Linked DNA regions of Callithrix jacchus. The protein of the gene in region 5 interacts with the protein of the main gene of each other region in a biochemical or structural test. Links are inferred from orthologs where the notes say so. Each region holds a gene or a part of one and is shown on either strand. Other genes may lie near its edges. The genes, in order: COPS5, CEBPB, TFE3, SKI and SMAD4.

Region 1 (5,568 bases), on a different chromosome or scaffold from region 5:
AAAATTACTCAGGCATGGTTGTGTGCATGTCTGTTGTCCCAGTTACTCAGGAGGCTGAGGTAGGAGGATCACCTGAGTCCAGGAAGTCCAGGCTATAGTGAGAGATGATTATACCACTGCACTTCAGCCTGGGCAACAGAGTGAGACCCTGTCTCAAAAAAAGAGAGAGAGAAAAAAAGAAAGAACAGAGAGCTTGTCAGAGTTCTATTTAAAATAATAAAAAATACACTGCTTCACTTGACTAGCCTAAAAAAAGAACAGTTAAATAATAGGCTAAAGTGAGGTATTTTTCCATGCATATAATGCACCAAATAAAAAAAAATTAATGAGGCTTTATCATATGCCAGACACTTTGCTAATTGCTTTATATAAAGTAGCCCATTTAATTTTCTCAGAGTACTTAATGATGTATGTAGTATATCACCATTTTACAACAAAGAAATGCTTAGTTACATTAAATAACTTTCTGAAAGTCGCTCAGAACTAGTAAAGTGGCAGAGTTGTTTTCAAAGTCAATTTTATTTTTTAGGATATCATTTGCTTATTATACAAGAGAGACATGGAAATTATTTATATAATTAAGTATTTCAGAACTTACGTGCAATGAGCGGCTTCATGTTGATGGCATTTCATTAGTGATTTACTTTAGTCTACATACTTTCTAAGAATGTCAGCATCTCTAAATAATCTGGCTGGGCATGGTGGCTCACAGCCTGTAATGCTAGCACTTTGGGAAGCCAATGTGGGCAGACTGCTGAAACCCAGGAGTTCAATGCCAGCTTGGGCAACATGGCAAAGCCCTGTCTCTACAAAAAAAATACAAAAATTAGCCGGGTGTGGTGGCTCACCCCTATAGTCCCAGCTACTTGGGAAGCTGAGGCGAGAGGACTGCTTGAGCCTGGGAGGCTGAGGCTGCAGTGAGCCAAGATTGTACCACCACACTCCAGCCTGTATGACAGGGACCCTGTCTCAAAAAACGAAACGAAAACACAATCCTTGGCTTTCCAGGTCAACTGAATAAACCTAAAGAATGGCAAAGTAGTTCTTTACTTTGGTGCTTTGGTACCTCCATATTCAGGGAGAATAATTCTTTATCTCTTACTTTCACATTAACTGGTTGAATCCACCTTTTCCTTGAAAGCGTGATCCAACAGCTACTACTGTTGCTTGCAATGCTTTACCTTAAGATTTTTCTGGAAGCATAATGCCTTCTTTAGTTCCAGCTTCAGCTGTACTCCTTTCAACCAATACTTGATCAAAGAGCGTAAGAAACTTCTAAGTGATGGTCCTACTATGACTCCTGCTGCTGTAGCTCATATTCTCCAAGCCCAGTTTATTTTATTCTAAATCCTATGGTTCTAACTACTATATATACTGCAGTATATGAAATGGCCTGCTTTTTTAGAAAAGTAAAAAAATTGTTCCTAAGTTCTATATATAGAGAAGCTGATTAAATATCCTTCCAAATATTTTGGGTTTTTATATTATCAGAAAAAATTCAGTGACCTCTTTTTTTTTTTCCCTCCCAGCATCTACTGCTTTAAGGTAATGCTATTCTGATTCCCTTTGGGAACCTCTCCTTCCCCGTTTTTAGTACTTGAGCTACTGAAGGAGTTTTCTACACTGTGGCCCAGCAGTAAAGCACTTGCCATGGCCAAAGCCATTCATCAGGCTTATTCAGTTGGCCTTAAAATGGGCATGTGATTAAGTAAAGCCAGTCAGACACAATGAAATTTTGCATGGGGGTGTGTGTCTGTGTGTATGTGTGTGTGTGTGTCCTAAAAATGGGCATGTGATTAAGTAAAGCCAGTCAGACACAATGAAGTTTTGACTGGGAGAGAGAGAGAGGGTGGGGGGGGGGGGGAGAGAGAGAGAGAGAGAGAGAGAGAGAGAGAGAGAGAGAGAGAGAGTGTGTGTGTGTGTGTGTGTGTGTGTGTGTGTGTGTGTATCTTGACCATCTCTTTCTTTGAACATGAAACTGAGAGGCCTGGAGGTCTAAAGCTAAAGCTGCTGTCTTGCTTTCACATGAAGCCTGAAACTAGCAGTAACTAAGATGAAATCAATGCTAAGAGAGAAAAAACACAAGATCTCATAATATTGTTTGAATGAAAACTTAGCTGTGCCTAAGTTAAGCCTTATTCCTCAACTTTGCAACTTACGCAGTTCTCTTTCTTAAGCTAATTTCATTAGGTGTCGTGTTACTTGCAACCAGACTCCAAGCTGAGACACCTGATACACAAAAATCAATATTTGTATATTTTTTATCCATAAATCTCCTTATGGCAGGAGCAGATCTCACCCTGATCTGGCCACTCTATTTGCTACTTAGACTTTGTCTCTATGGGTCATGACAAAAATCTTGAATTGGCCTAGCATCCTAATCCCACTCTGGTGGTGCAGAATCTCACCTCAGCCTTGGTGTCTTGGCCAAGTTAGGTACTGCCTTTCTGTGAAACAGTGTTTCAGATATTAAATGGCTAAGTAGCTTAGATAAAATTCAAATGCATTCCTTGCAAGTATAATACTTACAGTAAGCAAGCTAGAGGAACTCAATGTATTCACCCAGTATTTATTCCACAACAGCTCGAGCAATTTTCGATCCAAAGAGGATTTGAAATATGAGACCTCTAAGGCATAATATCTATGAAATAAAAGCACAAAATTTAGTAAGTGAAAAAAAATTCAACTACATCACATAAAAGTTATGGCCAAATTTAAGTGAATTATACTTTATTCTCAAATTATCCCTTATTCTCATGTTTTAGTTTTTATTCCAACAAGGTAATAGCTAACCATGGTTTCTTTACACTTCAAGGGTTGTGGATCCAAATCTTCTACTAAACATCCTTGTTTTATTCCTTTTATTTCTGTAGAGCCCAGAAATTCCCAAGATGTTATTAACCAGTCAAAACTTCTGAATGACAAGTTTATTCCTGTTGCTGAAAAATTGAAGCCAACAGCACATAAATTTAATGAGCTGCCTCTCTAGGGTAAATTATAATTTTTGTTAGCCACTTTAAAATAATAAAAATCTCATGTGGATTTGTTTCCCTTTCTAGTTCCCTATTTAGGACCTACTGCATTTTGGAAAATCAAATTTTTTAGGTAGGTCCTTAAGGCATCTAAAAAAATTGCTCCCACTTTCAAAGGTGCCTAATTTATCATCAGGGCATAGTAAGAAAAATCTAGAAGTTAAATGTCTGAAAATGCATTTTTTAAAAATTTAAACTATCTCAGTTGCTTCCGTGTAACAATGGATATAAAAAAGCATAAGAGACATCTTTACCTTGAGGAAGTCACCATTTATATGGGGGATGTGGTCTAAACCCACCAAAACATTAAATGTAATGATGTACATTGAATAACAATAAGTGATGCTATAGTGCTATATAAAATGAACCATCCACCAACTAAGGGTTAGAGATAATAAGTACTCTTCATGTAGAGGAGCTCAAGTGATCATCTGGAGCTAGAATTGCCTGAGAAGTCTCAGGGAAAAGGCAAGGTGTAGGGTAACCATTTATGAATCTATCGTATGGATATGTGAGAGCAAGGGGGACATTAGGCAGAGAGCATCAACACACAAAAAGGAAAGACATGTAAGGGATAATAAGGTAATGGGTTTAGCTGGACAATTTAGCAAGAGAAGAATTATGTGAGGGGAAGCTAGAAAGCTGGGGTCTAGGTGGCGGAGGATGTTACATAAAAGGTTAAGAATTTTTTTTTTTTGAGACAAAGTCTTGTTCTGTCACCCAGGCTACAGTGCAGTGGAATGATCTTGGCTCACTGCAACCTCTGCCTCCTGGGTTCAAGTAATTCTCCTGTCTCAGCCTCCCAAACAGCTAGGACAGGCGCCCACCACCACCATGCCCGGCTAATTTTTTTATTTTTAGTAGAGATGGGGTTTTACCGTATTGGTCAGACTGGTCTCAAACTCCTGACCTAAGGTGATCTGCCTGCCTTGGCCTCCCAAAGTGCTGGGATTACAGGTGTGAGCCACCACAGCCGGCCAAAAGGTAAGAAATTTAGACTTTATCCTTTGGATAACTGGGACTCATGGAAAGTGCTTGAGTAGAATGGAAGGTACTTTAGCAGATTAATAATACAGTCAAAGGGGTGTTTTATAGAAGCCTGGCTGTGGCAGTACCATCAGGACATGTTACAGGAGAGAAACTGGAGGCAGGGATTCCACAAAGAAAGCCACTGCAGCAGAGCAGATGAGAAGAGACAGAGGTTCAGACTCAGAGATTAGTGGTGCAAAAGATAAAGACACATAGGTACCCCTTGTAAAACAGAATGCTTTTCTTCAGCCAGAGTCTTGCTCTGTCACTTAGGCTGGAGTGCAGTGGCGCAATCTGGGTTCACTGCAGCGTCTACCTCCCAGGTTCAAGCGAATGTCCTGTGTAGCTCCTGAGTAGCTGGGATCACAGGCATCTGCCAACATGCCCAGCTAATTTTTTGTACTTTTAGCAGAGATGAGGTTTCACCATGTTATCCAGGCTGGTCTCGAACTCCTGACCTCAAGTGATGCACCCACCTCAGATCCAAAGTGCAAGAATGCTTACTGATTAAATTTTAGCAATGAAGAAATATAATGAATTAAGCAGAATAAATTAAATAAAACATAAAGACATCAGGATGGGCACGGTGGCTCATGCCTGTAATTCCATAATCCCAGCTAGAAAACTAGCTGCCCCCTCTTTGGTAGACTCATAGTTCAGAGTGGCAAGGGAAGGTATTTGCCAAAAGAAAGTTATTTAATGCATGGTATGCAACAAGATCTTTAAAAAAATGTTATTTAAGAAAGAAAGGATAAACCAACAGAATAGACAAATGGGGACAGTAGATCTGCTCGAATACAGAAAACATAAAGCATTTCAATCTTTTTTGTTTCAAAGGATAAATCTTTGATACCACTATAACTCAAATAAAAAATAATTGAGAGTTCCTCTGAAGATTAAAGTATCACAGCAAAGGTGTTTCCAGGCTTAGGAGCAATTCTCTCAAACAGGAATTATTTAAATTCTTTTTAATAGGGCAAATTAAATAATGAACACTAAATCTCTATGTGAATATATATTTGTTTAGTTGGGCATGGTAGTGTGCTTGTAGTCCTTGAGCAACCTAGTGAGACTCTGCCTCGAATAAAAAAACACGAACCAAAAAGGAAGAAAAGATCATTGTATTTACAGAAATAAGTCAGAGATTACTGAAAACCACATATAATTAAAATTTCAATTTTAGAAATTCTAGAATTTTCTAAGAATCTCTAAATAGAAAAATAAGTGCAGTAGCAGCACATGGGTAGCCAAAGTATTCTTTGAAGTTACAATAAGTGGTATAGAGAAAAGGGGGCACTAGATAATCACTTATTCATTTAAGCAGTAATTTTTTTGGTGCCTACTCTGCTGTGTGCCATGCCCTGTTTTAAACGCAAGGATACGCAGTTCACATTCTAAAGGGGTCAAAAAAAAAAAAAAAAAAAGAAGCAAAAACATCAGATGGTTGCAAGTGCTAAGAAGAAAAAGTAGGGAAAGAGGAAACAGAAGGTGTTATTTTCCATAGGGT
Region 2 (5,570 bases), on a different chromosome or scaffold from region 5:
GCAGAGGTGGGGTGACAGTGTTCTTGGTGCATAGGGAACAGCAAATGCATTCATTCACGGGTCCATGTTGAGTGTGCTGCACCCAGGAATTCCTCGTGGGCCAGCCCTCCCTGAGCGGCAGTCTGCAGGGAGACTGAGATAGACCACTAGGAGAATGGAGGCTGGTGATAGGGAAGGAAATTCGCCAGCAGGGGGGACAGAGAGGGCTGCTCTGAAGCCGTGGCCTCTAGCTCAGCCCCGAGTGTCCCATTTTCCAGTGAGGAAGGCCTGGCCGGGTGGCCCTGGGGAAACTGCTGCACCCCTCTGGGCCTTGATCCCTCCCCAGCTCAGAGGCTGCTGGGAAGGCCCAGAAAGCCAGCAGGCTCGGCCAGTGTTCTATCCCCTCCCTCCCTGCCTCCTACCCACCAAGGGTGCCCAGAAATGTTATTTCTCCAGCTCTTGGGGGCAGAGGTCACCCCAGCTCAGCAGATAACATCGAAGGTTGAGCAATGCCCGCCTGCCTGCTGGGGCCAGGGCTGGGGTCAGTGGGCCGGGGGTCAGCCCCTGGCAGGCTGGGAGCTCCTGCCTGGGCAGCCTGGGCTAGGAGTGGCAGAGAGGTGGGCCCAGGGAGCTGCCCCAGTGGCCTAGGAGTGGGTCCCGGAGGGCAAAGGGCCCTCTGACCTGAGCCTACCCAGCAGAGGCGGGCAGTGGTCAGAGGACCTCTGGCCTGTGCTCAAGTCCAGACTGGTGCTTGTCACTTTCCCGTCTGTGAAAAGGCAGCAGCAGAAGCATCTTCCTGGTGGGGTGAAAAAAGTTGAACCTTGGGGTCCAGGCCCACCCCGAGCACAGGGCAGGGACTTGGTAAAAACAGGGGTGTCTCTTCTCTTTCCTGAATGCCACCCCCTCTCCCGTGAGGCCTGGCTTAAGCCGCTCACGGCAGCTTCAGAAACAGAAGCTTTTTGGTCTCTGGGGCTGGCAATAGGTCTTAGGGCCCAGAGAGGGCAGGCATTTCGTGTGGGATGAATGTGGGCGGGACACTAGGCTGTGACCTTGGTATGCCATGCTATGCCCCCTCTGGGCCTCCAGTGGCACAATCCGTGGGGGTCCCTTTTTCTCCGATGTGCTGCCTATAAGGTAAACCTCAGGTTGGGGAGTCTGTAGGAACAATGCCACCACTGCTGACAGTAGGGACACCCTTCATGGACTGCAGCTGGGAGAAGTGAAGGGACTCACCCAAGGTCACACAGTGTGGCAGGGCCGAGCGCCCCCCAACTCCATCCCCATCGCAGGGCCCAGGTCGGGTGGTGCGGTGCGGGGTGGGAGAAGACCCAGGTGTTGAAGCCGCGAGCAGGCGGCAGGTGAGGTGGGCGGGGCGCCGTCCACCAGGGTCCAGCCCCCAGCGGAGCGCGCTCCTGCCCTGTCCCCTCCCCGACCCCCGGGATCCTCATATTGGTGGCTTAAGAGGGAGTCGTCACAGGCCTGGAGTCTCCTTTCTAGAGCCAGGGACCTGGGGAAGGGGTGGGAGTTTAGGAGAGGAAGGGCCACGGGGATGGGTCGCTTCTCCAGGAGCTAGAGCTGCGGCCTGGGGTCTCCAGGGATCGGCCCGGGGAGCGGCCCCCGGTCGGCAGTCCGGGCTCGGCTCGGCCCTCCTGAAACCTCCGCCTCCTCCAGCAGGGGGCGGGCCGCGGCCGCGTCTCCGGGGGGAAGGCGCTCAGGTCGCCCCCTCCTCGGATTCCCCCGCCTTTCAGGGCAGCCTCCAGCCCAGAGGGGCGGTCCGGGGGCGGGGTCGCACCGCCCCCTCTCGCTCCCAATCCCGGGGCGGCCGAGCGCGGGTGGGCAGGGGGCGCGATGCCGCTCCCCCCGCGGCCCGGGGACCCCCGGAAAACGCGCTCCGGGTGCCCGGTCCCTCCGCTGCGCCCCGCCACCGGCCTCCCGGGGGTCTCGGGCGTCCGCGGCCGTGTCCTCCGCGTCCCGGTGGCGGCGGCGGGAGGGGCCGGCGTGACGCACGGTTGCTACGGGCCGCCCTTATAAATAACCGGGCTCAGGAGAAACTTTAGCGAGTCAGAGCCGCGCACGGGACTGGGAAGGGGACCCACCCGAGGGTCCAGCCACCAGCCCCCGCACTAATAGCGGCCACCCCGGCAGCCGCGGCAGCAGCAGCGACGCAGCGGCGACAGCTCACAGCAGGGAGGCCGCGCCACCTGCGGGCCGGCCGGAGCGGGCAGCCCCAGGCCCCCTCCCCGGGCACCCGCGTTCATGCAACGCCTGGTGGCCTGGGACCCAGCATGTCTCCCCCTGCCGCCGCCGCCTGCCTTTAAATCCATGGAAGTGGCCAACTTCTACTACGAGGCGGACTGCTTGGCTGCTGCGTACGGCGGCAAGGCGGCCCCCGCGGCGCCCCCCGCGGCCAGACCCGGGCCGCGCCCCCCCGCCGGCGAGCTGGGCAGCATCGGCGACCACGAGCGCGCCATCGACTTCAGCCCGTACCTGGAGCCGCTGGGCGCGCCGCAGGCCCCGGCGCCCGCCACGGCCACGGACACCTTCGAGGCGGCTCCGCCTGCGCCCGCCCCCGCGCCCGCCTCCTCCGGGCAGCACCACGACTTCCTTTCCGACCTCTTCTCCGACGACTACGGGGGCAAGAACTGCAAGAAGCCGGCCGAGTACGGCTACGTGAGCCTGGGGCGCCTGGGGGCCGCCAAGGGCGCGCTGCACCCCGGCTGCTTCGCGCCCCTGCACCCGCCGCCCCCGCCGCCGCCGCCGCCCGCCGAGCTCAAGGCGGAGCCGGGCTTCGAGCCCGCGGACTGCAAGCGGAAGGAGGAGGCCGGGGCGCCGGGCGGCGGCGCAGGCATGGCGGCGGGCTTCCCGTACGCGCTGCGCGCTTACCTCGGCTACCAGGCTGTGCCGAGCGGCAGCAGCGGGAGCCTCTCCACGTCCTCGTCGTCCAGCCCGCCCGGCACGCCGAGCCCCGCCGACGCCAAGGCGCCCCCGGCCGCCTGCTACGCTGGGGCCGCGCCGGCGCCCTCGCAGGTCAAGAGCAAGGCCAAGAAGACCGTGGACAAGCACAGCGACGAGTACAAGATCCGGCGCGAGCGCAACAACATCGCCGTGCGCAAGAGCCGCGACAAGGCCAAGATGCGCAACCTGGAGACGCAACACAAGGTCCTGGAGCTCACGGCCGAGAACGAGCGGCTGCAGAAGAAGGTGGAACAACTGTCGCGCGAGCTCAGCACCCTGCGGAACTTGTTCAAGCAGCTTCCCGAGCCCTTGCTCGCCTCCTCCGGCCACTGCTAACGCGGCCCCCGCGCGCGTCCCCCTGCCGGCCGGGGCCGAGACTCCGGGGAGCGCCCGCACCCGCGCCCGCGCCCCCGCCCCCGCCCCCGGCGGCGCCGGCAAAACTTTGGCACTGGGGCACTTGGCAGCGCGGGGAGCCCGTCGGTAATTTTAATATTTTATTATATATATATATATATCTATATTTTTGTCCAAATCAACCGCACATGCAGATGGGGCGCCCGCCCGTGGTGTTATTTAAAGAAGAAACGTCTATGTGTACAGATGAATGACTCTCTGCCTCTCCCTCTGCCCCTCTCCAGGCGCCGGCGGGCGGGCCGGTTTCGAAGTTGATGCAATCGGTTTAAACATGGCCGAACGCGTGTGTACATGGGACTGACGCAACCCACGTGTAACTGTCAGCCGGGCCCTGAGTAATCGCTTAAAGATGTTCCTACGGGCTTGTTGCTGTTGATGTTTTGTTTTGTTTTGTTTTTTGGTCTTTTTTTTTTTTTTTGTATTATAAAAATAATCTATTTCTATGAGAAAGGCGTCTGTATATTTTGGGAATCTTTTCCGTTTCAAGCATTAAGTAAGAACACTTTTAATAAACTTTTTTTTGAGAATGGTTACAAAGCCTTTTGGGGGCAGTAATTGGCTTTTGTTTTTTTTTTTCTTTATTTTGGATTTGTTGGATTTTGTTTTTGCGTTTCTGGTGTGTAGGGGGTTGTGTGTGGGGAAGCTGCTGTTATTTTTGGAGGTTTTGGTGGTTGGGTGGGGGTGTTGCAGCTGGTTTTTCTGCCTCTGCTACTCCTCCCCCCACCCACAGGGTCTGCTTGGAGATGGGGTTCCAGCTCTGGGGAAAAGGGGAGAACAGTGATGGCTCAGGCTTTCAGGCTGACTCAGAGTCCCTGGGCGCTGGGACGGGTGGCTGGGAACCCTGCTTGAGAAGGGAGTCCAGGGCCTCTGGCTGGTCCGGAGTGTCAGGCTTGGGTTTGGAAGGGCTGGGACGTCTGTGACCCCTGTCCTGTGTTTGGGGATCGTAGGCACGCCTGTGACTGTAAGAGGAGAGGGTTCAGGTCTTGGTCCGAGTCAGGGCAGATGCCTGTGGTAAGTGTAGTAGGGTGGGTTGTTTAAAACACAGTTTGTGTATACGTGTGTATTTTAAAGAGGGGAGCCTGGGTATGTGGGCAAGTCTGTGTTTGTGTGTCCCTGGCCAGCAGGAGGGGAGAAGCCAGGCCAGGTGGAGGGAGGTGGGGAAGGGGTTCTCACACTTTGATTCCCTTTCCTTGGGATGGGGGGGCTCATCACTTGCCCTTTTTTGCCCAAACATGGACACTGAGCCCACCATACCTGCTTGCTCAAGGTGGCTGAGTCCAGGCACGAACCTGGGGCTGCTAGCCCTTATTCCCTGGGACAGGTTCCTCTTCCCTGCCCCCTGATCCCTCTGACCCTTCCAGCTTCTCCCTGCACCCCCACCCCCATGCAGCCCCGGATGGCATTCCTGAGAGTTGAGGATGTAGATGGATGTGAGTGGATGCATGTACAGCGTCCCACAGTGCCTGGCATGCAAGAGGTGTTATATAAGCGCTTGCTCTTGTTATTATTTTTCGCTGGGAAGCTGCTGGCATTTGGCACCCCAGTCTCCAGTGCAGCGCCAGTGTGGCCACTACTTGCCAGGGGCCGGCATCTGGTAAACACTGGACCTGCCCCATCCCATTTAGACCTCACAACAACCTTTGGGGAGGTGGGGACTGTTATGATGCCTGTTTCTAGAGGTGGGGAGCAGCTTTGGGCTGTCCGATCCCTATGGGCAAGACAAGGTTGGGGGTTGCCCTGCTCTGAGGAATTCAGGGGCAGCAGGGGTTGTAGACTGGCCTGCCAAAGGCCTGGGGCAGTCTGGGATCTCAGGAGCAGCTGCTGATACGGTGGTTCCTGGTTTGAGAATGGGAAATGTGTTGCCCCTCCTTTTCCCTTTGAGGGGCTGGTTGTGCTTTACTGTGGGAGCCCAGGGCATGGGGAACAGACAGCAACACTCAGCCCCCACCATCGCAGCGCTGAGGATTCTGGCAAGCTCCACCTCCCTAAGGCCAGTGTCTCCTGATGGTGGCTCGAGGGCTATGCAGATTGCTGGACACAGATAACCTCACTTCAACCTGGGGCCTGCAGTGTGGCCCTGACCACGTCTCCTCCCAGCCCTGCGCAACTGGACGCCTGGCCAGGCACGCCTTCAGAGCCTCGAAGTCAGTCCAGTCCCAAGCCCCACTGTCTCAATGGTTTCTGTCAGTACCAGTGACTGGCACATTGGCTCAACCTCTAGG
Region 3 (6,227 bases), on a different chromosome or scaffold from region 5:
CCTCCCTAGTAGCTGGGATTACAGGCATATGCTACCACCCTCGGCTAATTTTTTTGTATTTTTAGTAGAGACAGAGTTTTGTCATGTTGGCAAGGGTGGTCTTGAACTCCTGACCTCAAGTGATTCACCCTTCTTGGCCTCTCAAAGTGCTGGCATTACAGGCACAAGCCACTATGCCTGACCATTGTTTTTGTTTTGGAGACAGTCTTGCTCTGTCACCCGGGCTGGAATGCAGCAGCGCCATCTTGGCTCACTGCAACCTCCGCCTCCTGGGTTCAAGCCATTCTCCTGCCTCAGCCTCCCAAATAGCTGGGACTACAGTTGCATGCCACTACGCCCAGCTACTTTTTGTATTTTTGTAGAGACAGGTTTTTGCTATGTTGGCCAGGCTGGTATCAAACTCCTGGACTCAAGCGATTCACCTACTTTGACCTCCCAAAGTGCTGGGATTAGAAGTGTGAGCCACTGTGCCTGGCCCATTTTTATATGTTTAAGGCATCATAGGAATTTTAACATTGGATCTACACGTTCCATTTTAGAATTTTGATTGGTGTAATTGGTAATGTATTAGTTTCTTTTGTTTTTGAGACAGACTCTCACTGTCACCCAGGCTGGAGTGCAGTGATGTCATCTAGGCTCACTGCAACTCCACCTCCAAGTTCAAGGGATTCTCATGCCTCAGCCTCCCAAGTAGTAGGGATTACAGGCATCCACCACCACGCCCGGCTAATTTTTTTTTTTTTTTTTTTTTGAGACAGAGTATTGCTCTGTCACCAGGTGCCAGGCTGGAGTACAGTGGCACAATCTCGGCTCACTGCAATCTCCGCCTCCTGGGTTCAAGCAATTCTCCTGCCTCAGCCTCCCAAGTAGCTGGGACTACAGGCGCACGCCACCACACCCAGCTATTTTTTTTTTTTTGGTAGTAGAGACGTTAACCATGTTGGCCAGGATGGTCTCGATCTCTTGACCTTGCGATCCACTCGCCTCGGCCTCCCAAAGTGCTGGGATTACAGGCATGAGCCACCGTGTCCGGCCAGAAGTCATCTTTATTATGTGGAGGTCCCCTCCCACCCCTGGTATGAGATGGTTTGTGTGAGTATGAATGTGCAAGTTTACGAAAGCAGCTGACAGTCCTGTGAAATAAGGATGCCAATACAGAAGGTCCGAGGTAAATGGGAACTCAGTGAAACTCCTATAGGCGCAACAAAGGGCGGGGTCTTGGCATGTCGGGAAAGAGGAAGGGAAGGCTGCGGGTCTGAGTGAGCTACGTGCACCTGAAGGTACGGATGAGACCCTCCGCCTTGTGCAAGCCGGCTTGCATGCGTCTGGCATACAGGAGCGCTCAGTAAATGTTGAATAAATGAACCAATGAGCTAATAAACTAATTTTGGAAAGCTTCTTGTATGACAAACAACCTGCTAGCACTTTTCATATACTATCTTTAATCCTCAGAACAACCCTGCCAGACAGGTATTTTGATCTCCATTTAACAGGCCAGGAAAGTTGAGGCTGGGAGAGGGGAGGTCCCCTTCCATATTCAAACCTGGATCTTTGTGATTCCAGAAGTCGTCATTCACCGAAGGGACCAGATTCATCACCCGTCAAGAATTTATTAAGCACATATTGCGCAGCGCAACGAACATAGTACACCAACCTCTCTCGATGGCATGGAACAAGTGGAGTACTCCCAGAAGACCAGCTGGGCGGCTGGACTGCGGATACCAAAAGGATAGGGTTTCTGGCCCGGACTTTCAGGGAATGTAGCTGCCTCTGCCTCATAATTATGGCTTTGGCTGAGAGAGCACAGTTAGATCGAGGTTGCAGCGCGGTCTAGGGCGCAGATATTACGAATATTGGCCGAGAGAGGGCGCGGTTCCGCAGCTAAAAGCTAGGCCAGGAGACCCTCAGCGCGCCGACTGGCTGTCGAGGCGCAGGCGCAGAGGACCCAAGGAGCGGCTTAATATATTATCTTGCAGGGGAATAATTTGAGAAGAGAGGGCGTGGCTCCAAAAGCGACGCAAACATGGAGGCGTGGCTCAACCAAATTGCCCCTCGCCTATTTGTCGCTGTCCTTGAGGGCGTGGACTGGGCGCTTCTTTTCAGAATGAGGGCGGGCCGAATCGCGTTTTTCCTCCGCGTTGGAGGCGTCGCTTAGGGCGGACCGTCGAATCGCCGTTCAGCGATTGGCTGCCTCACTAATGGGTCGTGGCCAGACGGGCCGTCCATCCCCAGTGCGGTCACTTCCTGTGGAGTTTCCCCATCCCTGGCAGGAGGGAGGCGGGGGAAGAGGACGAGGGGGAGGAGGGCGGTCGTCCGGGGTTAGGTTGGGGGGGGCGTTGGTCCTTTCTGGGCGGGGGATGACTCACAGCCCATCCCATCTCCCCGACGCCGCCCGCCCGCGCAGTGCTAGCTCCTTGGCTTAGCGGAGGAGGAGGCGGTGAAGAACTGGGGGGAGGGGGACTCTTATTTTGTTAGGGGGACCGGGCCAAGGCCCGACCGGCCTGGCAGGGCTCGCCCGCGGCCGGGCGTCATGTCTCATGCGGCCGAGCCAGCTCGGGATGGCGTAGAGGCCAGCGCGGAGGGCCCTCGAGCCGTGTTCGTGCTGTTGGAGGAGCGCAGGCCGGCCGACTCGGCTCAGCTGCTCAGGTGCGGGGCCGGCAGGGGCCGGGAGTGCCGACTGGGGCTCCCGGGGGCCTGATCTGGGGGGCAGCGGGGGCCCTGGATTGGGATTGGAGGCCCTCGGCCTAGGCTTGGAGGACGTCGGGGCGCCAGTCTTGTGGGGGCACCAGTCTTGTGGGGGCACCTAAGGAATCCGGCAGTGGCCTGCTTGGACTGTGGCTTAAAGGAGTCGTGGGAGAGTGCATTAAGCGGGCCTGTGTCAGGTTTGGGGAACCCTTGACTGCGTCTAGAGGGGCTGATTCTGGAGTATCCAGAAACTGAACTTGGCGGACTGGGACTCTGATTAGAGGCTGAATTCGGGGGTTTTCAGTCAGACATGAAGGGAATGAATTTGAGGGGACACTGTCAGGTGAGGCACTGATTTTAAGGGGATCCTGGAATCTTTTTCCCTCAGCGTGGGAGAAGGGGTCCTGAGGGACAGAAGTGCTGTCTTGGGAGCTTGGTGCCTCTCAGTGGCTGGTTGCTGTGTTTGATGATAACATGAATCTGGAGGGATTTGCAGGTATCTCAGATATGCTGTCTGGGACCAGCCTTGTGAGTGCGTGTGAATGAACAAGAGAAGCAACATTAAGCAAGACTTGATCAGAATAATCTTTTCTCCCCTGCCCGCCCACCCAGCTGGGGCAGACCCAGGGATAGTGGAAAAGCCCTCTTCCCACACCTGATAAGGGCCTGAATGACAGAGGGCAGACAGAGGGTGATGATGTTACCTCTTAGCTCAGACAAGGCCTCAGACCTTGTTTGGGAACCCAGAGGAGGCTCTTGTTCATGCTGCTACTTGCTCTACCCTCTCAGCCCTTCCCAGTTCCTAGTCCCACACCCCTCTTATTTTTATTTTATGTTTTTTTCTATCTCCGACCTCCTGGGGGTAATCTTGAATCTGTCCATAGAGCTGGAATGAGTACAGATTGCACCATCCCTGCCTGGGTGGGTCCCCTCCGGCCTCTTCTCATCCTCACTTCCATCAACGGGCTTTGGAGCCCCAGCCCTCCCTGCTCATCCCAGCACGCCCATCTCTTCCAACTTCTATGCAATGGGTGTGTGAGCTTGGCGGGGGCTGCGTGAGGGGGGAGGGGTCTTTGCCTCCTTTGTGCCTGGGATTGTGCTGAGCTCAGTGCCTTCCCCGAGCTTCCTCTTCCCAACTTCCTGGGTGGTTTTAGGACTCCATCTGAGGGTGAGGAGAGGAAGGAAGAGAGATCCTTGGGGAGGGGAGAGGATTCTTGTCAAGTGAAGTCACCAGCAATCTCTCAGGATTCTAAATCTTTGGCTAAATTAAAGGATGCATATTCATCTACCACATGTGTGTTAAGTGTCCCTTGCTCTCTAGGGCTAAGCATAGCCTTTCTGTATATCGATTCACCATCTTCTAATTCCTCTGTAACAACCTAGATCATCGCAGTAGTGGACATAGTTAAAAGGGAGGGGTGTATTTGGCTTATTTTGTGTGACAGTGGGTGTTGGTGTTGGAGGTGTGTGTGTTTTGATCTATCCAAAAAAACAGGAGAAGGCTGGACAGGCTCCTCTGGCTAAGAAAAGAATGCTTGTATAAAGTGGATCAACCACCTATATTCTCCCTCCTGTAAATCCAGTCTGTTGGAGCGAGGGGAGCCTTTGATATTTCTATTTTATATTTGGGCATGTGTTGGCATCCCGTGAACTCTGGCTAGGGCTGGGAGAAACTCATTTGTGAAATGGTAGATCTTTACATCAGGTGAATTATTCCCAGTTCTCTTTGTGATGCATTCATTTTGTGTTACAAGGGGCTCTTATGCTGAGGGATACCCCCACTTGCTGTGTGTGTGTGTGTGTGTGTGTGTGTGTGTGTATGTGTTTACGTTTACACATATACCTGGGCTCACATTCAGCTGTAAAGAAAATAGTAGGAGGTTGGCCAGGTGCAGTGGTTCACGCCTGTAATCCCAGAGAGGCCAAGGCAGGCAGATCATGAGGTCACAAGATCAAGACCATCCTGGCCAACAAGGTGAAACCCCGTCTCTACTAAAAATACAAAAATTAGCTGGGTGTGATGATGTGTACCTGTAATCCCAGCTACTCGGGAGGCTAAGGCACAAGAATGGCTTGAACCCAGGAGGTGGTGGTTGCAGTGAGCCGAGATCGCACCACTGCACTCCAGCCTGGTGACAGAGAAAAAAAAATAGTAGGGAGTATAGGGGCTGAGAGAACTCTGAATAGGAAGTCAGGAATTCTTCCATAAAGTGAATTGTTACTCCTAAATTCTGTTTAACTCAAACCCAGGTTCTTACACTGTTGGGGTTGGGATACAGGCATTCTTATTATTCTGACTCTTAAGGGACTATGAGTAACACGGTGGGGAAGGGAAAAGGGTATGAGGGGGAAGGAGGTGGGAATTCATGGTGGTGTGGTACCCAGCAACGTGGCCAAATATGAGGGGCTTGTGTTCTTCTGTTCTTTCTCCCCATCTCTGTCTGTCTGTCTGTCTCTCTTTCTCTGTCTCAGGGGAGGGCAGGGGAATAAGATCCTTCATTCAATCACTGACCACCACCCCACCTCCCCCTCAGCCTGAACTCTTTGCTTCCGGAATCTGGGATTGTTGCTGACATAGAATTAGAAAACATCCTTGATCCTGACAGCTTCTACGAGCTCAAAAGCCAACCCTTACCCCTTCGCTCAAGGTATGTATGAATTGTCTATCTGAGTCCCCTCCCAATTCCTCAGCACTCCTCTCCCCTCTTGATGGGCAGAGGCCCTCAGTACCAGCCCAATCCAGTCTTTCACTAGCCTGCATTTTCCAGATGGTAATATTAGGGGCCAGAAAGAGCATGATCACACAGGGAAGTAGGTTGCCAAGCTAGGATTCCAGTATCTCTGTCAAGACCTCCCCTGCCTCCCCGCAACCCACCTGCACACCCATTCATACGTAAGGGTTTCAGCCTCAGGTGTTCCAGCTGGCCTGGAGTGCCCAGAGATAGGGCGTGGCCTGCTTAAACTCACACCCCTGGGTGGGCGGGGCCATACCTCTAGCCCCAACTCAGCCCCTTCCCACACTACCCACTTACCCACCCTCAGCCTTTGAGGAGCCCCTGCTGGTCTCTTTCCCCAAGCTTGGAAGTCTAAATGTGCTGAGTCATCGGCCCGGGCTCTGAGAGAGGGGAGGGGATGTGGAAGAGGGGCAGGAAGAGAGGATTGTGAAATCTCTGAGATTTTCAAAACTGACTAGCTCCTGGGACCAAAGGTCCAAGCAGGGGAGGAAGAGGAACCTGGGGCTTCTCCTATTGCTTGGTGCTCACCCCCAGGAGCTCAGAGAGCTTCTTCAGCCTCACATTGGGCTTAGGAGCCCTGTGTATCCATGTTCTGCTGCCACAACCTCAATTCTGCTTCTTCTGCTCCTTTAAATAGGACAAACCCCCTCTCGCAGAGCTGAACAATGGCATCTCCACTTAATATATGAACAGACTCAAATCTAGGCTTCACCATTAGGACTAAAAGCTAAAACTCCCCCACTAGAGTGACCTCCAGTGTGTCCCCCATCAGATTGTTACCTCGGAGAGCCACCACCAAGCTTGGTT
Region 4 (6,287 bases), on a different chromosome or scaffold from region 5:
AGACTCGGCCCCTCATGCTGTCACTGTGCTGCTGACAGGCCAGGGTCTCAGACACAGCTGCCCTCACACAGGGTTTCCAACGCAAAAGGGCAGCCCCGCCTCCCACTGTTTGGGACCCGAGAACATCACTGCCCTCTCCCACCTTGCATCATGGGTAGCAGAGTGGCGCTACTCACTCGGGCAGGGGACCCAGCCCTGGCCTGGCCAAACACCTGAAAGGCAATTCCGCTCCCTCCCACTCCTCAGAGCCCAAAGGCCTGCTGGGAGGAGCAGCCCCTGCAAAGAGTTCCAGTACATTCCTCGTTCCTTCTGCCCTCATCCTCAGCAGATCAAAAGTATTAAGCTACAAAGGAAGTGAAGAAATCAAAACATATCCTAAGAATAAGCTGTAAAGATGTGAGTGGGAGGAACCAGGGGCAGCCAGCTAGGACAAGGGCGGGGCCTCCCAGGCCACTCCTAGGACAATCAGGGTCTGAGCACCGTGGGTCCACGCCCACCCTGAGACCACACTCCTTTCTCCTGTGTCGTCCCTATGCGCACGGACACGCACACGGCTGTCCTGGGGAGACCTCAGGGGACCAGATCTCCCAATCACACAGCCCAGATCTACAGCCCAGATCTCCCAACCACACAGTCACAGAGCCCACGGAGCAGGTACTGAGCAAGGGCAGAGTCCCAGGCCGCCATCCCTTGTCAGAAACACAAGGCAGGAGGGGACACAGACAGGTTAGGTGCCCCACCCCCAGGGGCATGAGGAAAGCCCGCAGGAGCCGGGGAACATGCAGGGAGCCAGGAGGAGGCCACCACTGTCAGGGCAGAGCTGTGGCCACCACTCAGGCTTGGAGACGCCAGGCGCTCAGACTGAGCACATCTTCATCATGGCTTGGGAATTGCTTTTTAATTGGAAAATGAGATTTCAGAGCAGTGCTGGAGAAGACTTCAAAAGGGAAAGGTGGCTTGGAACCATCCACTGAGATGACCAGAGAGAAGCCTGTCTGGCGTGTCTCTATGGCAGCCTGAGGACCCTGGCGCTTACAACCGCAGCGCCTGCCGCAGGGAGGGAGAAGCTGGGTGACCTGGGCCCTGCTGGCCCCCCAGCAAAGCCCAGGAAGACAGACAGACCACAAGCACACACATGACCCACAGTCGGACAAAAACAGACGCACCCTGCTCAGCTGAGAGTCTCTGCCTTCAGCTCAAGACAGTGACGTGAGTGTGTCCCAGCAGCTCAGGCCTTGGTCACAGGTGACCCACTCCGCAACCTGCCTGAGCCCACCACAATCCCCCCAACACGTAGCTTCCTCCAGCCACAGGCACTAGCAAGGGTGGCCACCCCAAACAGAACGGCCCCCAGCCCACAGGGTACGCCATCATGCCCACCCCAGCCAACTCCCCGTGTGACACGAAAGGCCCCAGCCTGCTGGGTCTGTCAGCAGCCCCGCCGGGAGCATCCTTCCACAGCCCACAGGTCTGCAAGCAGCTGCACCAAGGCTCTGGCCTGGCAGGGCCAGAGCGCCCCTGAACAGGCATACACGCGCGCGCACACTCTCCGCAGCCCCCTCCAAGCAGAGGCGACAGTCCCTCGCTTCCATCCACAGCCCCTCCTCCCCACGATCTGACACTCTGCTGGAGGGCCGCCCAGAGAAAACCGGGCTGGAGCATCTATTCACAGATTTCAAAAAAAAAGTTTGATGCAATAGCTGAATTAATTAGGCCTCCCAAGAATAGCTGAGCCAATGCAGCATTCTGTGTGTGCAATTTAATAAGCCTGCATATTTAAAAAAAAGTTACAAATACTTGGGAAGGTATGCAACGGAAAGTTCCTGAGGACCCCACTGGGTAATGTCGGTGCCTTATGGCCTGGGAGCTGCCCACGCCGGATCCTCCAGATCCTCCAACTGGCAAACAACAAAGCCGGGCTGACAGTCTCCCTCCCTGGCGTGTCCCTCTGCGCTTCAGAGGGAGAGAAGGAAACGGGTGAGTCCAAAACAAATCGCAGGCCGCCAGGAACTCCAGCACTCGGGCCCAGGAGCCTGCTGACCAGGCCCTCAGCTGGGTGCCAAGTGGCCCTCACCCTGCACGGGGGACTCTGGGATTTGCTCCCTGGCAGGCCCAGGGAGACGAACCAGCACAGTGCTGGGGCTGCTGAGTCTCGGCCCTCCGCCACTAACGCCGGACACCTGGCTTCATTTTGGGTCTGTGTCCCAAAACTTCAGGACACCAAACAGGGAGCAGAGCCAGTAACAAAACCAGGCCTCGCCTGGCCCGAGCTCTGTCTCCTGGGGCTCAAAGCTGGGAAGCTTCGGGGTAAGGGCAGCCACCTTCACCCCAACCCCAAGGAAGACCCGGGCCTGAGGCATCCAGCCGCAGTACGGCTGGATGGAACTTCCCTGACCTCGGGACAGGCCGCTTTCTCGGCAGCACAAGAGGCCTGTGCCTTCCTGGCCTATCTGGGCAATGGCTGTGGGCCTTTCCCACACACCAAGCCTGGCCCCGCACCCCACCGCCACCAGCCCCGCCCAGGCTCGTCCTGAGGAACCGGCAGGAGGGCTTCCTTCCAAACCCACTGGCCCTGCCCAAGGGAACGCTCTGAATTTCCCCTAAACGAACCGAAGCCTTGAGACAGGAGTGAGGCAGAACACAGGTCCCGGCCTTCGGAGCCCGGAGCGCAAGGCCCAGGAGGTGCCCCCCCACCCAACGCACCGGCCCCACCCCGCGCCCAGGCCTGGGGCCACTCACCCGGGGCACCCGCCGCTTGTACTTGCTGCCATAGTCGAACTTCTCCTTCACGTCGTCCAGGCAGCGGCCGAGGCGCGCCTGCTCCTCCTTGCCGGTGTAGTCCTGGCTCAGCAGGATGTAGGCCCGCCAGTTGGCCGAGTCGAAGCCCCAGTGGCAGGTCCGGTTCTCCAGGGCCTTGTGCGAGTGCACCACGAACTTGTGCGGCGGGTACATGAGGCGGCAGTCCAGGCACTGAATGCAGGCGGCGCTTGGGCTGCTGTAAAGCTCAGGCACCAGCAGCCCCTTGCACTTGCCGAAGCACTCGTGGTACACGCGGACGCTGCGCTCGCTGAGCTCCAGGCCCAGCGCCAGGCTGGCGGCCAGCTCCTTCTTGCAGGGCGGCGGGTAGGCGCCGCCGTAGAGCAGCGCGTTACACAGGCGCTCGGCGTCCGTCTTGGTGATGAGCCCGCACGAGGGCGCCGAGAAGGGCAGGATGCCCATGACTTTGAGGATCTCCAGCTGGTCGGCCGTGCAGCGCGAGCAGTAGATGTGGAGCTCGTCGCACACCGAGTTGATCTGCTGCAGCGAGAAGTCGCGCAGCACCGAGTTGAGGATTTGTGGCAGGCACAGGCGCTTCTCCCCTCCCACCACGAAGCACGAGATGGTCTCGCCCTCTAGCACCGTCTCGCAGCGCTCCGTGGAGCGGTCGGACGGCATGAAGAAGGGCCCGGGCAGCACGGGCGGCGGCGGCTGGATGGCGGGCAGGTGCAGCACGGGCGGCGGCTCCGCGGCTGCGGGCACCGGCGCGGGCACCGCGGCCGCGCCCGCCTCCTTGGCGCTCTCCTTCTTGTAGGCCTCCTGCGCCCAGCGCGCCGAGAAGGCGGCCGGGCCGCCCAACGAGCTCATGGAGCTCAGGTGGAACTGTTCCAGCGTCTTCTGCAGCCCCGGGTGCGGCTGGAAGCCGCCGCGGCCGCCCGCCGCCGCTTCCATGGTGCGCTCCGGCTCCCCGGGCCGCTCCCGCTCCCGCGCGCCCGGGCCCCCCCGGCCCCCGCCGCCGCCCCGCGCGCCCCGGCGGCGTCCGCGGCCCCGACCCCGGCCGCCCCCTGCCGCCGGCTCACGACCGATCACGGCCGCGGCCTCGCCCGGGGGCGCGAAGGGGAAGGCGGGCGGGGCGAAGGGGTCCCGCCGCTGGAGTCCGCCGCCGCCCGGGCCCGGCGCCACATCCACGCGCCCCGCGCCGCGCCCGCCGCCGCCCGGGCCCCCCGCGCGTCCCCCGCGCGCCCCCCGGGCTCTAGGCGCGGGGCATGCCCCGGCGCGCGCCGCCAACGCCAACGCCAACGCTCGCGGGCCCGGGGCTCGCGGGGGGCGCGCGGGCAGGTGGCGGCGCCGAGAGGCGCGAATCGCCGCGGCGGCCGAGGCCGAGGGGCCCGGGAGGAGCGGGGGCGCGGGCGCGGGGCCCGCCGGGCCGTCCTCGCGCGGCGCGCCGCCGCCGCCCCGCTCCTCCCACCGCGCGGCGCCCGCCCGGCTCGTCCCGGCGGCGCTGGCCGGCCGCGTCGCGCCCGCCGCCGGCCCCCGGCCCGCCCGCCCGCCGGCTCCGCGGCCCGCCCGCCCGGCTTCTGGGGCGGCGGAGGCGCCTCTCGCCCGCGGCCCTCAGAGCGCGGCGGCGGCGGCGCGGGGCTTGGGGCGCTCGGCGAACATCCTCCCGGCGGCTCGCTTCGGCTCGGACTGAGCGCCCGGCGCTGAGCTCACGCCGCCGCCGCGCCGCCCCGCCCCGCGCCGCCCGCTCCGCCCCGCGCCGGCCCCGCCCCCCGCGCTGTTTGTTGCTGTGCGTCCGCCTCAGCCAGAGCGCCGGCCAAGAATGTGACCCGCTCCCCAGCCGGGCTCTTCCAGGAACGCGCGCTCCCCGCCCGGACTCGGCCGCGCTCGGCTCCGCTCGCCCGGGATTCGGCTGCGCTAGGACCCGCCCTGCTACGACTCGGCTCCGCTCGCCCGGGACTCGGCTCTGCTCGGCCGTGCTCGACTCGACTCGGCCCCGCTCGGCCTTGCCCGCCGACGGCCGCTAGCGCGGGCGGAGGCGGAGGCGGTGGTGGCGGCGCCCGGGGCCCCCTTCCGGCCGAGGCCGCTTCCTGCGCTGCTGGGAAGGCGCCCGTCTCGCCGCCGCCGGGGCCCAGAAACCCACAGGCTCCCCGCTCGACCGCAAACCAGCTGGGACGGCTGGCGGGCCACGCCACGCACCCGGGGTTCTCCCAGGGTGGGACACCACACAGCGGGGAGCCCGGGCGCCTCTGGGGTCCCACACACCACAGGGATGGTGGCCACGCGGGGGGACTTCGCGCCACGTGACCCTGGCGGCGCAGCCCCGCGGCCCCCGCTGCACCGTGGCCCGTGGCTCGGTGGCCGGGTGTCAGCGGCTCCCGCCCGTGCCAGCCCCGCCCCACCAGACCGGGGCTTCGGGCCTGGGAGGGGCGGCGCCCGGTGCCCCCGCCGCGGCCGCTCTGCCGGCCCCTGGCCGGGTGGCTTCTCAGGATCTCGGCCCCGCGGGTCCCGACGGGCAGACTGGCGAGACCCCTGCCCTCCGCCCCGGGGCTGCGGGGCGCTTCCGTCCGTCCGGTCGGGCCGGCTCTCCACGCCTGGCCACGCAGTGGGAGAGCCACAAGCCCTGGCAGGCCGAAGTGGGAAAGCCTGGGTCCCAAAGCTGGACGGTCGGCCTGGTGGTCCCCAGAGGTGGCAGCGTCCAGCGAGGCCTGCGGGCTCCGGGACGCAATGGGTGGGAGGGGGTTGGGGGCTGTCCTCGCCCGAGGCCGAGGGACATTCCTGCCGCCCTGGGCCCTGGCACCTTTTCCCACGGGCCACGGGTACCCAGGCTGGCTTTCGTGCTGGGGGAAGGCGAGAGGGCCACACCGCCGCAACCTGGGTGACCAGCTGTGACCTCCTGCCTTGGGGGAGCCGACCGGGCGTCCCTGTACAGGACTCTCCTGTGTGGAGAGGCAGCCAGGACCTGCAGGTGACCCCAGGGCGGCTCCATGCGTCCTCCCTCCACTGCCTCGGAGGTTGACTCTCCTTGTCATCGCCCTCCACACTGTCCCCCCACTCTTACTGTTCACTCCGTTGGCCCCCACAATCGGAGGCCAGGCTTCTGTCTATGTTAACACATCCGAAAGCTGGGTAAGAAAGTTATTTCCTTAAAAGGGATATTTAGGCCGGACTCGGTGGCTCACGCCTGTAATTCCAGCACTTTAGTAGGCCGAGGCGGGCGGATCACAAGGTCAGGAGATTGAGACCATCCTGGCTACCACAGTGAAACCCCGTCTCTACTAAAAATAAAAAAAATTAGCTGGGTTTGCTTCTAGTCCTAGCTACTCGGGAGGCTGAGGCAGGAGAATCCCTTGAACCTGGGAGGTGGAGGTTGCAGTGAGTCGAGATGGCACCGCTGAACTCCAGCTTGGGCCACGGAGCAAGACTACGTCTCAAAAAAAAAGGTATTTAACCGGGCACGGTGGCTCATACCAGTAATCCCAGCACTTTGGGAGGCTGAGGCAGGCATATGGCTTGAGCCCAGGAATTCAAGA
Region 5 (6,252 bases):
CGATAGAGGTACTGGATAGCAAGATTTAAAGCTGCTGGTTTAGAGGAGGAGGGGGATGGTTTGAAAGCAATGTTGAGAAGCAAGAAGGAAACCTACCCCACTTCCAGGCACTGAGAGGCTGAAAGCTGAAAACACAGTTGCCACTACTTGAGAGGTGGAAGGAGAAGCAGTGTTCCACGGCAAAGCTGGGGTTTCCCTTAAGTAAAAAGGTGAAGGGAACCTGAAGAGAAATTCTGAGAAGAGGCTGAGCTTATAGAGAATGCCATTTGCCTAAATAAATAGATAGCATTGTAGACTGAATCTAAAGAAGCCCCATATGATCCCCACCTCCTGGTGTTCATGCCTTTGTGTGTCTCCTTCCCCTTGGCAGTGTAGGTGGTGCCTGTGATTTGCTTCTGGCCAGCAACGTATGGCAAAAGTGACAGGGTATGAGTGACACAGTGTATGTGATGATGTTACATAAGATTGAAACCAGTGTCTTGCTGAGACTCTCCCCATTGCTGGCTTTGAAGAAGCAAGCTGCCATATTGTTAGCTTCCCTATGGAGAGGACCACATGGCAAGGAACAGAGGGGGTCTCCAGCCAACAGCCTGTAAGGTACTGAGGCCCTCAGTCCTGCAGCCTGCAAGGAACTGAATGATGCCAACAACCACATGAGCTTGGAAACGGATCCTTTGTTCCAGCCTCACTTTGTAGAGGACCCAGCTAAGCCATGCCTTGTCTCCTGACCCACAGAAACTGTAAGATCATAAATATGTGTTGTTTTAAGCTTCTATATTTGTGCTGACATTGTTATACAGCAATAGATAACTAATACAGACGGAATGGAAGAAGTTTAGTTATAACAATGTCTCAACTTTTAAAAAACTTCTTCTGAAGTGTATTACCTAAGAATCACATATTGAACTATTATTAAATCATGTTTAGTAATCTATTAGCTGACAGATCTACTTTCAGTTTTGTTGACAGAAAAGATTGGAAAACTATCCGACTTGCAAAATAATTTAATACCCTTCACCTAAGGTCATTTACTTTCTCAGCATAGATACCGATATTTGAATTGCCCCTTTTGGATTGCTGGGGAGGTTCTGCATTGACCCAGTGTACCTTAATAATGAGTAAGAATTCTGACTTTCTTTTGTAAGGTGGGAGGGAGAAGGGTAGTTTTGAAAACAGGTGCTGTGTCCTTAGCTCCCTTCTCAAGCTGGGCAATTTTAGAAAACAGAACATATAGCAACGGAAGATATGGAAATGAAATCCCTTAAAACTGGTCTTCATAAACCCCAGTGGTAAGAGAACACCAGTTTGAAGCTTTAGGGGCTTTCTGGCATTAAAAGAAAAAAAAAAGTGGGGGGGAAATGGCCCAGGATGTGGAGGACAGAATGAGGCACAGAGGATCTATGTGGCGAAGGCATGCGGTGGGTGTAGAGAGTTCTGGGCTACGTGACCTAAGAAATGACTTTAGAACTGGCTCATCATTAGTTTTGGAGGGACTAAAACTAGTCCCAAAGTAGTTCCTGCTTGGTGAAAATATATCATTAATGCGTTTTAAATTAAAAAAAGAAATGCATGCGTCTTGTAAAAAATGAAATAAAAGAAATATAAAGCCAAAAGCAGAGCCTATGCCTTTCCCCACCGAACAAACAGATAACCTAGTTAATAGGTGTGTAGTAGGAGTCGAAGTTCCCCTCCAGCTCCGAGAGTGCTCTGTATCTCCTCCAACAAAACCACCCACACTTGGAACGCCTGGCAAGGCTCTTCAGTAAGGGATTCCTTGACTGTCCTGTGCGTCTCTCGAGTTTAAACACCTCTGGGGCTCGTGATTCGGGGCTGCCGGAGAGGGAAGGTGCGGCCAGCGTCTGTTTCTTACCGAAGTGAACTGCTACAACCTAGCCACGTTCTCCTCCGAGCTGTAGACTGGCTCTTGAAGGCCAATTTTTGTGCCTACGCAGGTCCTCAACACCAAACAAAACAAAAAACCAACAAAGGCCGGGCTAATCACTGTTTATAAACACTTACTGGACGCCCACTCAACGCCGAGCTCTCCTGCGCAGCTTGGGTACTTTTTTGCAAAGAGATGCCAGTGTCCCTGGCGACCACTCCCTCAAGCAGGCCTTCGCCCTCCGCCCGCATCGCGGCCCAGGCCCAGGCCCAGGCCGAGGCCGGGACTCTGAGCCTCCCGCCGGCTGGCGCTGCCCGGCAGGCGCCTGCGCAGAGCGACCCTCCCCTTCACAGGGGGCGGGGGACGGAAGGCGGGGGCAGCCGGGAGAAAGGAAAGCTGCGGGGGAAAAGGGCCAAACCCTGAAATTACCCGGATGTGGTCCCCGCGCGCGCATGCTCAGTGTTCTCTCGACAAGTTGGCAGCAACAACACGGCCCTGCTCGTCGTCGCCGCTGCGGTAACGGAGCGGCTCGGGTGGCGGAGCCTGCGTTCGCGCCCTCCTGCTCTCAACGGGAGGCCTTTCTCGCCCTCCCCTCGGCTCCGCAGTCGCCCAGCGGGTGGGAGCGGGTGAGGGAAGCCGGGTGCCTCGCGAGAGAGGCCCCCCGCCGCGGGGCTGCCCGGGAGCTCGAGGCGGTCCGGTCGGCGCGGGCAGCGGCGCAGCGCTGAGGAGAGGCGGCCTGGCCGGGAAGCCTCGGGGCGGGGGCCGAGGAGCTCTCCGGGCCGCGGGCGAAAGCGACGGGCCCGGAGCGTCCGCGGACCAGCAGCGGCGGGAGAGCGGACTCCCCTCGCCACCGCCCGAGCCCAGGTAACCGCGCCATGTCCCCTCCCCTTCCCCCGGCCTGGCCCGCGCACCCCGCCCGCGGCTTCTCCGCCCCGGGGCGGGCTCCCGGCGGCGGCGGGGAGCGCGCGGATCCGCTGGGAGGGCGACCGTGGCTACCTGACGAGCCGGCCCGGGCGGGCTGGGTGAATGCAGGGTAGCGGTGCCTCGCGTCCCTCCAGCTCCCAGCTCCGCTAGCAGCTCGTGCGAGAATCAAGTTAAACTCGGACGGGACTCCTGCCGCGGCCGCCGCTCCTCTTTGTTGTTCTGGAGTAGTTTCTTGGTCGCCCGGGCTGAGCGCGTTGGGTCGGCTGGAGTGTGTTGCCTTACGGTCTAAATGAAAGTTGTAAATTGTTTGTCTTAATTTATTTTCTCCAGCCAATTTCTGTTTTCTCTTTGTCCTTTACTTTCTCTTCCTAGTCGTGTCAATGCCAGTTTACGCTTCTGTCTTTGATATGTTTAGTTTTTGAGTACTGAGAGTGACGGTGGTATGCCGGACACATTCTTAGCACCTAACTGAACCCCTTCTTCCCCCTATATAACATGCTCCCTAATAAAAGGCACAGTTGATCTTACTGTTAGCACTACGTGTACTGAGAGTGAAATGGGTGTAGGGTGGAGGGCGGTGGCTCCATCACTTGCCCCAAACTGTTGTTAGGATCTCTCAAACTAGATTTTCAAAGACACGAGTATGTTTAGTTAACCTGAAAGGTTTATTGGCTGGTGCAGAGGTTTTACAAAGCCCTGCTGAATATTAATAGCTGTTTCCCTCAAAAACCTAAGTACATTTGTTTTTAATAAAGCGCGCGCGCGCACACACACACACACACACACTCACACACACATTTATTTCCAAATTACTTTCTTAATGCATTTAGTTTTTGCACCGTAGTTTAAGGTGAAATTGCCAGTTACTTAGGAATAATAAATATAACAAGATAATAAGGGAATTAGACTGAGTTGACTTTCTGCAGACATACAATCTTAGCTAATTTTTGTTAATAACCTTTTGACTTTTGTCGGAATTAGAATCCTTTTAGTCTTAGTAGCAGCTTGGTTACTCGGGTATTTAAGAATTAGATTCACTACTTTTTGCTGGCAAAAAACATTTATTAGAGTCTCAAAAAAATGAAATGCATAATGTTGTAATTAGGTTTAGAACATGGCATTTGAATAATTTTTATGGTGGATTTCATAAATTACTTTGCCATACTCTGCCGAGACTAGATATATATTTTTTAGTTGAAATATAGGAAATTCTAAAGTGCAACTTTTTTTTTATGCTGAGGACTTATTCTGTCTATATTGGAAAGTTCTGATGTGATTAGTAGATAACATTCTAAACTGTAAATGATTAACATTTAAAAACACGGATTTTTAAAATTAATGTTTCTTCCATAATGCTGTCATGATTTTGTATACTTAAATGGGTTCCTTAAAGAACAAATGTAATAGAGATAGGCCAAGCATTTATAATTTGGAGTAGCTTTAGATCTAAAGATGGTGATGAATTATGTAGGCTTAAGTTGTTGGAATTAAAACCAAAAGCTTCTTTAGATAAAATTGTTACAATATTTAACTTTATTAATAGAAGTGGCTTTTTCCTTGCTTTCCAGGTTTTCGGGTGAGTTTTTAAAAAGTATGGCATCTTGGGTTTTTTATTTTTGAAGTGGGGGTGTATGGCTCTGTTTAGGTCAGTGCCTTCAGTGTAAATCTTGAGTTTAGAAAAAAACAAATTGCAAATCTGTTTTTCAGACTTAATGAAAATTTGTGCTGAGAAATATTTCACTTTGAAATATTTTGGAATAAGTTTTATGTGGATGATTGACTTTTTATGATAGTTTTGCTGCTTGAAGCAATTCTGCCTATACTAGGAGGCAGCAAATCTTATTTTAGAAAACTTGTGCTTCATTTTCTTTTTTTTTTTTATTGCATTTTAGGTTTTGGGGTACATGTGCAGAACATGCAAGACAATTGCATAGGTACACACATGGCAGTGTGTTTTGCTGCCTTCCTCCCCTTCACCCACATTTGGCATTTCTCCCCAGGCTATCCCTCCCCAGCTGCCCCGCCCCCGTCCCTTCCCTATTGCCCCAATAGACCCCAGTGTTTAGTACTCCCTTCCCTGTGTCCATGTGTTCTCATTTTTCGTCACCCACCTATGAGTGAGAACATGCGTTATTTCATTTTCTGTTCTTGTGTCAGTTTGCTGAGAATGATGTTCTCCAGATTCATCCATGTCCCTACAAATGACACGAACTCATCATTTTTGATTGCTGCATAATATTCCATGGTGTATATGTGCCAGATTTTCCCAATCCAGTCTATCATCGATGGGCATTTGGGTTGGTTCCAGGTCTTTGCTATTGTAAACAGTGCTGCAATGAACATGCATGTGCATGTGTCCTTATAGTAGAACGATTTATAGTCCTTTGGATATATACCCAGTAATGGGATTGCTGGGTCAAATGGAATTTCTATTTTAAGGCCTCTTAAGCTACATTTTAGTCGAGCGATTGATTGTGTGTGAATTCCTTTTCTGTGTTCCTCTTCAGTTTTTCTTTTCCCCCCAAATTAAGGAGCAAGCATTAACCTAATTTGTGCTGCCCAGTCACACTGCAGCTCTCCCACTTGGAAGCAGTTTCTTTCTGATTGAGCCAGTGTTATAGTAACATCATTAGACACCATTCTAATTGAGGTGTGAATTACTGAGGCCTCTACTAGGGCGGTTAACCCTATAGAATCTGCAGGGTTCATTATATGTAAAATGCATATTTAGGCTTGTCTAAATTTTTGTCTATTTTGGTGAAAACAGGTTTTGCTGATGTTTAAATTTAGTTCATTTTGTCCCTCTCTAGTTCATACCTAACCTTTTTTCCATTTTTAATTCAGTGATTTTTTTTTTTTTTAGAGTGACTGGTTCTTTAAGCATCTTTTAATCGGCATTTCAGCACTCATTATATATGTTTGGATTTCTTTTTGTTGGTGTTGTTGACCTGGAAGACTGTGTAGTTACGAATAATTTTTTTTTTTTTTTTTGCTTAGATCGATGATGGATGGTGGCTCTGAGATGACTGTTAATTGTGTATAAAAGTAACCTGACAAAAAATGTTTTGTTATCTACAGTTAAAGGACAGACCAGAATAACACAGCATTTCTTCTTCTTTTTTTTTTGAAATGGAGGCTTGCTCTATTTGTTTGTTTTTGAGATGGAGGCTTGCTCCATCTGAGATGGAGATTCCAGGCTGGAGTCCAGTGGTACAATCTCAGCTCACTGCAACCTCCGCCTCCCAGGTTCAAGCAGTTCTTCTGCCTCAGCCTCCCGAGTAGCTGGGATTACGGGCATGTGCCACCACAGCACCTGGCAAATTTTTGTATTTTTAGTAGAGACAGGGTTTCACCACGTTGGTCAGGCTGGTCTTGAACTCTTGACCTCAGGTGATCCACCCACTTTGGCCTCCCAAAGTGCTGGGATTACAGGTGTAAACCTCTGT

Evidence for each region.
Region 1: the proteins of SMAD4 (region 5) and COPS5 form a complex in vitro, tested with the Homo sapiens proteins (2 studies listed by BioGRID). The link is inferred for Callithrix jacchus from reciprocal best matches to the Homo sapiens genes SMAD4 and COPS5.
Region 2: the proteins of SMAD4 (region 5) and CEBPB form a complex in vitro, tested with the Homo sapiens proteins (2 studies listed by BioGRID and IntAct). The link is inferred for Callithrix jacchus from reciprocal best matches to the Homo sapiens genes SMAD4 and CEBPB.
Region 3: the proteins of SMAD4 (region 5) and TFE3 form a complex in vitro, tested with the Homo sapiens proteins (2 studies listed by BioGRID). The link is inferred for Callithrix jacchus from reciprocal best matches to the Homo sapiens genes SMAD4 and TFE3.
Region 4: the proteins of SMAD4 (region 5) and SKI form a complex in vitro, tested with the Homo sapiens proteins (3 studies listed by BioGRID and IntAct, with this or other methods). The link is inferred for Callithrix jacchus from reciprocal best matches to the Homo sapiens genes SMAD4 and SKI.

Annotation. Positions count from the first base shown.
Region 1 is NC_133517.1:22,929,897-22,935,464, forward strand, and holds part of COPS5 (COP9 signalosome complex subunit 5), read right to left. Parts: intron 2,642-5,568; coding exon 2,530-2,641; intron 1-2,529. UniProt on the Homo sapiens protein: Probable protease subunit of the COP9 signalosome complex (CSN), a complex involved in various cellular and developmental processes.
Region 2 is NC_133506.1:45,725,580-45,731,149, forward strand, and holds CEBPB (CCAAT/enhancer-binding protein beta), read left to right. Parts: upstream 1-2,034; 5' UTR 2,035-2,235; coding exon 2,236-3,270; 3' UTR 3,271-3,885; downstream 3,886-5,570. UniProt on the Homo sapiens protein: Important transcription factor regulating the expression of genes involved in immune and inflammatory responses. Also plays a significant role in adipogenesis, as well as in the gluconeogenic pathway, liver regeneration, and hematopoiesis.
Region 3 is NC_133524.1:49,588,575-49,594,801, reverse strand, and holds the start of TFE3 (transcription factor E3), read left to right. Parts: upstream 1-2,400; 5' UTR 2,401-2,530; coding exon 2,531-2,646; intron 2,647-5,157; exon of another isoform or gene 5,158-5,219; coding exon 5,220-5,333; intron 5,334-6,227. Other genes in the region: CCDC120 (coiled-coil domain-containing protein 120), read right to left, coding at 1,655-1,669. UniProt on the Homo sapiens protein: Transcription factor that acts as a master regulator of lysosomal biogenesis and immune response.
Region 4 is NC_133508.1:40,278,240-40,284,526, reverse strand, and holds the start of SKI (ski oncogene), read right to left. Parts: upstream 4,157-6,287; 5' UTR 3,709-4,156; coding exon 2,740-3,708; intron 1-2,739. UniProt on the Homo sapiens protein: May play a role in terminal differentiation of skeletal muscle cells but not in the determination of cells to the myogenic lineage. Functions as a repressor of TGF-beta signaling.
Region 5 is NC_133514.1:94,256,209-94,262,460, forward strand, and holds the start of SMAD4 (mothers against decapentaplegic homolog 4), read left to right. Parts: upstream 1-2,340; 5' UTR 2,341-2,746; intron 2,747-6,252. UniProt on the Homo sapiens protein: In muscle physiology, plays a central role in the balance between atrophy and hypertrophy. When recruited by MSTN, promotes atrophy response via phosphorylated SMAD2/4.